Linked DNA regions of Neodiprion lecontei. The protein of the gene in region 1 purifies or fractionates together with the protein of each later gene. This does not show direct contact. Links are inferred from orthologs where the notes say so. Each region holds a gene or a part of one and is shown in the gene's direction. Other genes may lie near its edges. The genes, in order: threonylcarbamoyladenosine tRNA methylthiotransferase and MIP18 family protein galla-2.

What was found.
Region 2: the proteins of threonylcarbamoyladenosine tRNA methylthiotransferase (region 1) and MIP18 family protein galla-2 purify together in Homo sapiens (affinity purification with mass spectrometry; 3 studies listed by BioGRID and IntAct, with this or other methods). This does not show direct contact. The link is inferred for Neodiprion lecontei from reciprocal best matches to the Homo sapiens genes CDKAL1 and CIAO2B.

The regions. Positions count from the first base shown.
Region 1 is NC_060264.1:19,946,686-19,952,297, reverse strand, and holds threonylcarbamoyladenosine tRNA methylthiotransferase, read left to right. Parts: upstream 1-1,994; 5' UTR 1,995-2,190; coding exon 2,191-3,828; 3' UTR 3,829-4,915; downstream 4,916-5,612. UniProt on the Homo sapiens protein: Catalyzes the methylthiolation of N6-threonylcarbamoyladenosine (t(6)A), leading to the formation of 2-methylthio-N6-threonylcarbamoyladenosine (ms(2)t(6)A) at position 37 in tRNAs that read codons beginning with adenine.
Region 2 is NC_060261.1:37,580,709-37,584,259, forward strand, and holds MIP18 family protein galla-2, read left to right. Parts: upstream 1-1,935; 5' UTR 1,936-2,034; coding exon 2,035-2,155; intron 2,156-2,238; coding exon 2,239-2,318; intron 2,319-2,403; coding exon 2,404-2,673; 3' UTR 2,674-2,834; downstream 2,835-3,551. Other genes in the region: mitochondrial inner membrane protein OXA1L, read right to left, coding at 2,871-3,034, 3,114-3,276, 3,353-3,551.

The DNA.
Region 1 (5,612 bases):
AGTAATTCATTCAGACGCCATATGGAAGTAATTTCTTGATAGAAATCCATTGCGCACCGTTTAAACTCGCTGCGAACAGCGGGTCAAAAATTACGCCCGAAAAAAATACCTAAGTATTCCCTTTGTATTTTCTCAGACATTGAATTTGCGGTGTTCTAGATGTCCCCTTCGGATTTCTAAGGACAATCATTCAGAAACGTGTTCTACCCGATTTCTATCGCGTTCTATCGATTATTCGACGGATAGATTTCGGGCTCTAAAAATGTCGAAACAGAATGACTGTCCGGAACGATTTTCATAGGATTACTCCCATCCTTTTGCAATGTAGAATTAAGTAAATCGAAAAAAGTTCAGCATAAAATTATGTTTTCATACTTGACGAAGATTTCAGTTATGTTTAACGTTGCTAGAATGGATTCTCCAATAAGTCACGTCGACGTTATGTTTCAAGAGGAAACAATCTTAACTATTCCGAAGTCACTGCGAATAAGAATTTTAATGGCACTACACAAATCTCATTGCATTCCCTAGTTGACTACTTAATTGTTCGATCTTAAGAAGTCCTGGCTATTGTGAGAGTGTGGATACAAATCTATCTGGAGACAAGAAGTTCCTTGTCTATAGCGAAAGCTAAGGCCTCTCTTATCCTTTTCAAATCATCTGCTGATTTCGAGAATCGAGAAAAATCAGTTCTGTATGTGCCATATTTACGTATTCTCCGGAAGGAAAACGCTTTCGCATCGTTCTTAATAACGAGGGTCAACGATTCAAAAACTATAGCAGACAAATGCAATTTTTGTTTTTTTGTTTCAAACCTTTTTTCCACTATGTCTTATCGATTTACTTGTCGTTTCCGGTTTTTTTGGTTTGCAGTTGTTCGAGCTTTTAATAAGTATTTTACAGATAATAAATTCTCTATCCCAAAAATATCACATTCTTTACGTTTTTCCGTGTTTGTAAAATTGAATGCTTTCGCCTCGACGTTTTTTTTCTGTGCATAGAATTTTTTTTACTCCGGATAATTTAAGGGGTTGCCCTGGTCGATTTCGATGTTAACGTATATGTATATCTCCAAACGTTGAAGTCCACGTATCTCAAACGCGAAAAAGGGCTTAACAAGACCATTTTATATGCAATTCTGACCAAGAATACTCCATTATATTTTCATTCTACGCAGAAATAAAGAAATGGCATAAATTCTATGAATTTACCATTGAGATTACATAGAAACTATGCCATTTCTTTATTTCTGCGTCGAATGAAAATGTGTTGGTGTGTGGTTATTCAGAATTTTGTATACAATGGGGCTGTTAAGACCATTTTTGCGTTTGAGATACGTAGACTTTGATATTTGAAGGTACATATGCAAGACACATCGAAATCGATTAGGACACCCCCTTAAATTATTTAGCCTGACACTTTTGTACAATACGTGTTGTTTTATTGTATTCATGATTTCAGGCGTAGAACTAAGTTATATACAATAATTAAAGGTATTCTCTTGGTGTAAATTGAGGTCTTTAAAGATAGAGCTTCTTGTCAAGTTACGTTTCGAGGTGCGTGCGGCTGATTCTGTAAATAATAAAAGATATAACAATTAGTACGAGTAGCTGAAAGTTGATACATCAATAAATAGTACAATAACAACTGTTGTTGTATTCTTGAATAATTATGGAAAATCATGTCTGAGAAGGAGCTCTACACTGCCCGAACACATTTAACCAAACGGACTCACATTACTCCTTGAGAATACCTGCATGTTAATAGACTCGATTTTGACTCTGTGACACTTGCCTTGTGTTCCAACCACTGGTTGGAGCCGAACGACGAGCGCATTCTGCCGAGTGACTAGAAATTTCTAACCACAGGCAGACAGCGCCAATCCAGGCGATGTTCAAATATTCGAATGAAATCGAATGTTTTGAATTGGCCGGGTAACAAGCGTTTTCGTCGGTAAAGCAGACAATGTCTCCCTAGATAAGTTCTGTCGTACCAATTGCCACATGTCCTCTCCACTACACGTCTTTCTGATAACCTAACTTAGTCGATCCTAACCTATAAAATAAACAAAACAGCCGTAGTTTCTGTATTTCTGTGGAAAATCACATTACCTCAACAAATACTCATCTCAATCGCTGAACAGTTTCGAATCCGCACGAAAATATCTAAGAAAAAACAATATCCTCCAAAATGTCGTCGCCCTGCAGTGACATAATAGACGACATCGAGGACCTGATATCATCCCAGGACATAACGCCGAAGGAGCGTTACAGCACCAAGAAAAACGTGACAGTGCGAGCCAAGCGAAAAAAAGACATCCGCGAAGCTCCGGAGGCTACAATCCTGTCCAGCGTCATTCCAGGCACGCAAACAATCTACGTGAAGACCTGGGGCTGCACGCACAACAGTTCAGATAGCGAATACATGGCTGGTCAGCTGGCAGCGTACGGCTATAATTTGACAGAGGACAAAAGCCAGGCTGATCTGTGGTTGTTAAATTCATGCACGGTAAAAAACCCAGCCGAAGATCATTTCAGGAATGAAATCGAGCTCGGCAGATGCAGCGGCAAGCACGTTGTAGTCGCTGGCTGCGTGCCTCAGGGTGCACCGAAAACAGGTTTCCTGTCCGGTCTGAGCGTAATTGGCGTCCAGCAGATCGACCGGGTGGTCGAGGTGGTCGAGGAGACGTTGAAAGGAAACTCGGTTAGATTTCTGGGTCAGAAGAAAGAGCAGGGAAAGAAAATCGGCGGAGCTTCGCTGGCCCTGCCGAAAGTCAGGCGGAACCCACTGATCGAGATCATCGCCATAAACACAGGCTGCCTGAACCAGTGCACCTACTGTAAAACAAAGCACGCGAGAGGCGAATTGGGCAGCTATCAACCAGACGAGATAATTGAGCGTGCCAAGCAGGCCTTTTCCGAGGGCGTCTGTGAACTCTGGCTTACCTCTGAGGACACAGGGACCTACGGCCGTGATATCGGCTCCAGCCTTCCAGAGCTCCTCTGGAGACTCGTGGAAGTCGTGCCCGAGGGCTGCATGATGCGCATCGGGATGACAAACCCCCCCTACATCCTGGAGCACCTTGAAGAGATGGGCAAAATTCTTCAACATCCCAGAGTCTACAGTTTTCTGCACGTCCCTGTTCAGTCGGGCAGCGATCAGGTGCTCGCAGATATGAAGAGAGAGTATTGCTGCGCTGACTTTGAACAGGTTGTTAATTTCCTGCAAGCCCGGGTACCTGGCGTCACCATTGCCACGGACATAATATGCGGTTTTCCTACCGAGACAGACAACGACTTTGAAGACACCATGATCCTCTGCAGAAAGTACAAGTTCCCAAGTCTGTTCATCAACCAGTTTTATCCCAGGCCTGGAACTCCGGCTGCAAGGATGGACAAGGTTCCTGCTCAGGAAGTCAAAAAGAGAACGAAAAAGTTGTCCGAATTTTTTCAGTCCTACGAACCGTACGGTCACAAAGTTGGCCAGGTTCAAAATGTTCTCGTCACTGAGATTTCTCACGACAAGAAACACTTCGTTGGGCACAACAAGTTCTATGAACAGGTTTTGGTGCCCATGAGGGATGGGTTCATGGGTAAGATGGTTCAGGTTCGAATCATATCCGCCACCAAACATTCTATGAAAGGACAGCCGCTCGATGAAGGAATCTCTGCGTCGATCAGAACTCCGCTGCCCAAAGGAATTGTCTCCGGTATTATTGAAGTTGCCGAAACCAAACAATCCGAACCATCCAAATACAGACTGTTTGCTCTCATTGCAATTTTCTTGGCAGTGTTCGCCAGATTTTTATGGAAACTTTTAAACGTTTGATTATCACTATTTTAGGATAAAGAATTTGTCCGTGTTGTTTATTTTTGCTGGAATCATTTTCACTATTAAAAGAAACAATGCGGAATTATATTTATTTATTTGTTCCCATGTAAATATGTAACTGTATATAACTGTTATTGATATGACGATTTCGTAAACTCAGATGTATTTATAATTTCGAAATTCAACGAATTTCAAAATTATTATAACTGTTATTATTATGTAAATATTGCTTGGCATGTGAGGTATAAATTCTTGACAATACGAAAGCCAAAACTCTAAATAGATATCCGATGGTTGAAAATCTATTGTTTGAAATTCATATTAGGGAATCCAAATGTCTTTCGTTTTGTTTGTTGTCAGGACAAAGAATTTTGCGACATCAAATGGTTTCTTGCCAAAGCTTTGGCTTGATTGTTGTCTGACTAGTAAATTGAATACCAAATAATCCTAAGTATCGATTTCATAATTTTATGATCGAGATGTGCATAGTAATGGCAGTAGTAAACTGATCCGATATATTTTTTACATCTTGATCAAAGTTCTTAATTGCTTAAAATGCGATTTTGTTTATTCTAGTAAATTCATTGTGAATAGATCACTAGAAAGATGACAATCTTACTTTTTCACGAGTATCTCATGTCAAATTATTTCCCATTTTCCAATTTCACAATTTAATTAATACACCCATAGCCAGTTCCAATCTGACCCATGTTCATAATTCTGGCGTTTACTAAAGATTTATAAAGACTGCTAGCCAAATGGGACTTTCCGTAACCGAAAAAGGCCAAGATAAATTCCTAGAAGAGATACAAAATTTAAGGTAATATTTAGAAGATAAAACCATCGTCAAGCAGCGCGAAGGAGTAATATAATAAAGGGATGAAATTAAATAGTTATATTTCTATGTAACTTATGTACTTGTAAGCTTTCTGAGATACATGACTAACATGTTCATCACCAGGAGAATGGGACTGGCACAGAAAGTCAATTTTTAATGCTTTAATTGAGGTTAAATTTCTCGTAAAGAATGCACAATTGTTAGTAACACTTGAGTCCATGTTGCAATAAAACCCGGTAAACTTTAGGTAATCATTATTACAAAAGTAATAGAAAAAGCAATTTCAAGCTAATCTGGATATTTTTCCACCTGTACCTACTATCACTTGATTGAATGGTAAAATCGGTTACTAACTTTTAAATACATGATTATTCAAAAATTTATTGGTTAAATGGCCCGGAGAATTACTCATATTTGTTCGCTTTATTATAGACCTAAGGCAGTCGTTATGTTCACAACAAGGAATTTCAAGTTTGAGAATACTAGTCCAGGAGCCGACCGCACCGTATCTTCCCTCATCGAACATACGGCCAAAATGCATATGAATCGATGGGGAATATAGTGGTCAATAGAGTGCCAGACTTTATAGACAATGGATCCTGTCCGGAGTGTCAAAAAAAATTTTCACTTCCGGTCAGTTTTTTGAGGTCAACTTCCCTCATCGAACATACGATTGAAACTAGTACCAATTGATAGGGGAGGTCGAGTACTTGAAGAAAAAACCGGGATGCTACCCGTCACCCTGTGCAGGGGGCGGCTGCCACCTCTAAGTGTAGGCTTTTTTGGTGCATAAATTTCCTCATCGAACATACGGTTTGTTTCTTTTAATTGAAGATTGAACCTCCCCGAACCTGAAAAAATCGGGATGCCACCCGTCACCCTGTGCAGGGGGGCGGCTGCCACCCCTAAGTGTAGGCTTTTTTGGTGCATGTCTTCCCTCATC
Region 2 (3,551 bases), on another chromosome or scaffold:
CACATTGGTTCTAATCCAAGAAACCTTGCCAATAAAAGATATGAGACTACTTATAATCTTGTGATCTTAAAGCCAAAGTCTAGACTAGCCGCAAGAGAGGCCAGCGGTTAGAGGTGAAAGGCCATTGGAGTGGTATGGATACTTATGGCATGCAAGAAATGCCGAACTCGCAATTGAGATAACATATGAAGGTATACATATAGATATCACTTCTCCTCTCATCATTGCGATTCTGATTCTCACGAGCTCTTATTACTATGACCTTGAACTTGACGTAATTGCCGTTCCAATGTAGATAAAGCCACGCCTATAATTGTGTGTGTGTGTATCTGTGCTGAGCATGTATGTGTTGGGTACCGGGTAGTCGTTACGTAGTGACAGTGGAATGAAGCCAAATTCTGCTCTCACCTCGCTGGATTGCTAATTAGTTCTCAATCCCGTCTACGATTCGCGCGTATCATTTCAGAGATTAATTAGTGTGAGATAAAAGTAAGCATATATTATCCACAATTGTAATAGTCGGTGAAATTTGTCGAAAGTTGAAACCTCTTTTTTGCCTTCGAAAATTGGTCAGAAGAAGACAAAAAAAAAGGACGAATTAGCCGAATAATTGGAAATCGTGATTCAGTAGGTGTTCGGCAGAACTGAAACGCTTACACACCGAAACGATTTTTGCACAACCGTCGCGTCGCATGCAAGTAATCAAAGTCCAGCCACACTTTACGCCGTTCCACCCTCAGACGGCTGCGGGTAATTTAGCTTTCTCCTCCCCGCGACTTCCCCCCAGCTTCCCTTGGGGTTCGCGCATCAACTGCAACGTAGGGTATGGCCTGTATATCTATAGGCTCCAACTTCGACTACAGACCCTATATTTCATTCTTGCCGAAGGGTGCGACCGTCCGGACGGTATAGAGCCAGCCAGACCTGTAATATACTTTCGTAGTTACAATGCGAAACATACGCTCGATACTCTTTATTTTTAAGACCTGCAACGTTGAATCAATGTAGAGTATTCGTGAAGCGCCTCAGCCTAGTTCCAGTTGTTATTACCTACTGCAAACAGAAAATGATATACACGCATACGGGAAATGCCATACGAAATTAAACAATTTTAATTCCAATCATTCGAAATTTAGTTGAAACTTTTTCAGGTAAAAGTAAAAAGGAAAAAAATTGTTGGTCGTAAGGATACTATTACCGAAAAAAGTTTCAACAAAATAAAAAATGGTAAGGGTTCAAATTATCTGACTCCACGTGGAATCCTTTGTCCATATATCATTATAACTAATGTTAATCTTCCTTACAAAAATCATTGCATAGTTCTCAGATGGTTATTTCTTTAGTTACTTGGCACGCCGGGTTTATCGTCAGCTCTTTAATTCAGTGCGTTAACGTGGAATATATCAAAAAAATGGCAAAAATATATCCCAACAATCGGAAAAGAATAGCAACGGATTAAGAATTTCAATACGATCTATTCCGATTTCTTTATCCAAACGGATGTTTCGTATTCTTTGAAAAGAATCAATTCGGATGGAAAGAATTGAATCGGATTGATAATTTCCATCCCTTATTCTAGATAGATAATTGAAACGAACAAGCTGTTAGAGGTGGCATTGTCGCGAATATGACGGGATAGGAAAGAACAGATAAAATCGAATAGAAACGAATAAACAGATTAAAACGAACAGTGTCTCATTGGAATGACTCATGCTTAATTCGGAAACTTTAAGAAATGGGATTCACAATTCTGCTAATCGATCCGTTTCTATTCTTTTCCGATTGTTGGGATCCACGTAGGTAATACTTAACAGCGATGAAACCTCTGCCCCTGTATTCCGCAGCATGACATACACATCAGCGATGCATAACCTTACGAGGGTGAACCTTAGGGATGACGTTTAGCAGCGCCATCTCGCGAAAATTTTTTAATTCTCGTTGACAATAAATAATAGCTCCGCATTTAACTCGGTGTCGGAATACCATCGGGTACCGTGTTGATTTGCACGATTTGCACTTATTAATAAGGAAAGAATGGCTGATCAATTAGAAAACACTAATCCAAAATTGTATAAAAAAGTTCATGAGAGGGAAATCACAGCTGAGGACGAAGACGAGGATGTTGTCGATGACTTTGACTCCCGAGAAATATTCGGTAATTCTAACCTCTCGCACTTTTAGCCCGTAGCCTCACGCTCACGTGATTAGTAGGGATCTAAGATTCATGAAAATTTACAGATCTTATTCGCAACATCAACGATCCGGAACACCCTCTAACTCTGGAGGAATTGAACGTTGTTGAACAAAGCCTTATAGAGGTATGTAGCTACTTAGGTTAGGTCGCCTTTAGCAGCTTCAACCCGATGGACCAGGAGTTTCATTCTGATATGCGGCTACTTTCAGGTTGATAATAAGCACAATAAAGTCCACGTTAAATTCACGCCTACGATACCTCACTGCAGCATGGCAACATTGATCGGTCTCTCTATCAGAGTCCAACTTTTGCGTGCCCTGCCATCAAGGTTTAAAGTGAATGTGGAAATAACGCCCGGAACGCACGCCTCTGAGACAGCGGTAAACAAGCAGCTTGCAGATAAGGAAAGAGTTGCAGCCGCACTGGAAAATAATCACCTTATTGAAGTAATCAATCAATGCATTGCCGCAAAAATGTAAATGGTCTACGTCGGCTAGATGTAAAAATAATTCACTCTTACTAGTGAGTAATGTACAGTTTTGTATATAACATGTAATACTAGAGTATAATTTTGATGTAAAAATTCTATTGGAATTCATATGAATCGGATGGAATAAACAAATGGCAAGTTATGGCTAAAGTTTTCCTTTTATTATCACAATATATTTACAACAACTCAATCCCGTTTCCGGGCCATAATCCGTGTCGGTGGTGGTGTTTGCGCAGTGGGATTATATTTATACGTTTTTGGTACAGGCCCCCGTCCAGCCCGTTCAAATTCCATGTGATCTGCTTCGCCTCTGTCTTGTAATGCCCCAGCCAGTTTCATGTTGGACCAAGCTGCAACAATGGTAGTTTGGTTGAAGGATTTCAGAATAACAAACCGAACAGACTGGAAATCGATTGTATAATAATTTACATTCTTTGAATCCTTTGACAAATCCTTTGTTGGGAGCAAGTTGCGTCGGTGCATGCTTAATAGTTGCTTCGATTTTGAAAAAGGTTCGAACTGATGGAACCTTCAAAAGCATAGCTTGACCTAAAGATATAAAATTTGTCGCAGTCCAGTAAACTAATATAGCCTGAAATCAAGGTGGAAGTTGGATGAAGATAGTGAGCAACACAATTTTTTTTTACTACTCTCAATTACCAACTTACTCCGTCAAAATGCATGATGAATGGAAACATAATGATAGGAATTGCTTTGATCGCATGTGCCATGAATCCAGGTCCCAAAGTATCCAGTTTTAACCCGTCAGCTCCAATCTTTATCGTTACATACATTGTAGCGCTAGTTATCAGCGGTAACAAATAGTATTGGTCAGGAATAGTTAAATCTGTAAACCACCAAAGACCT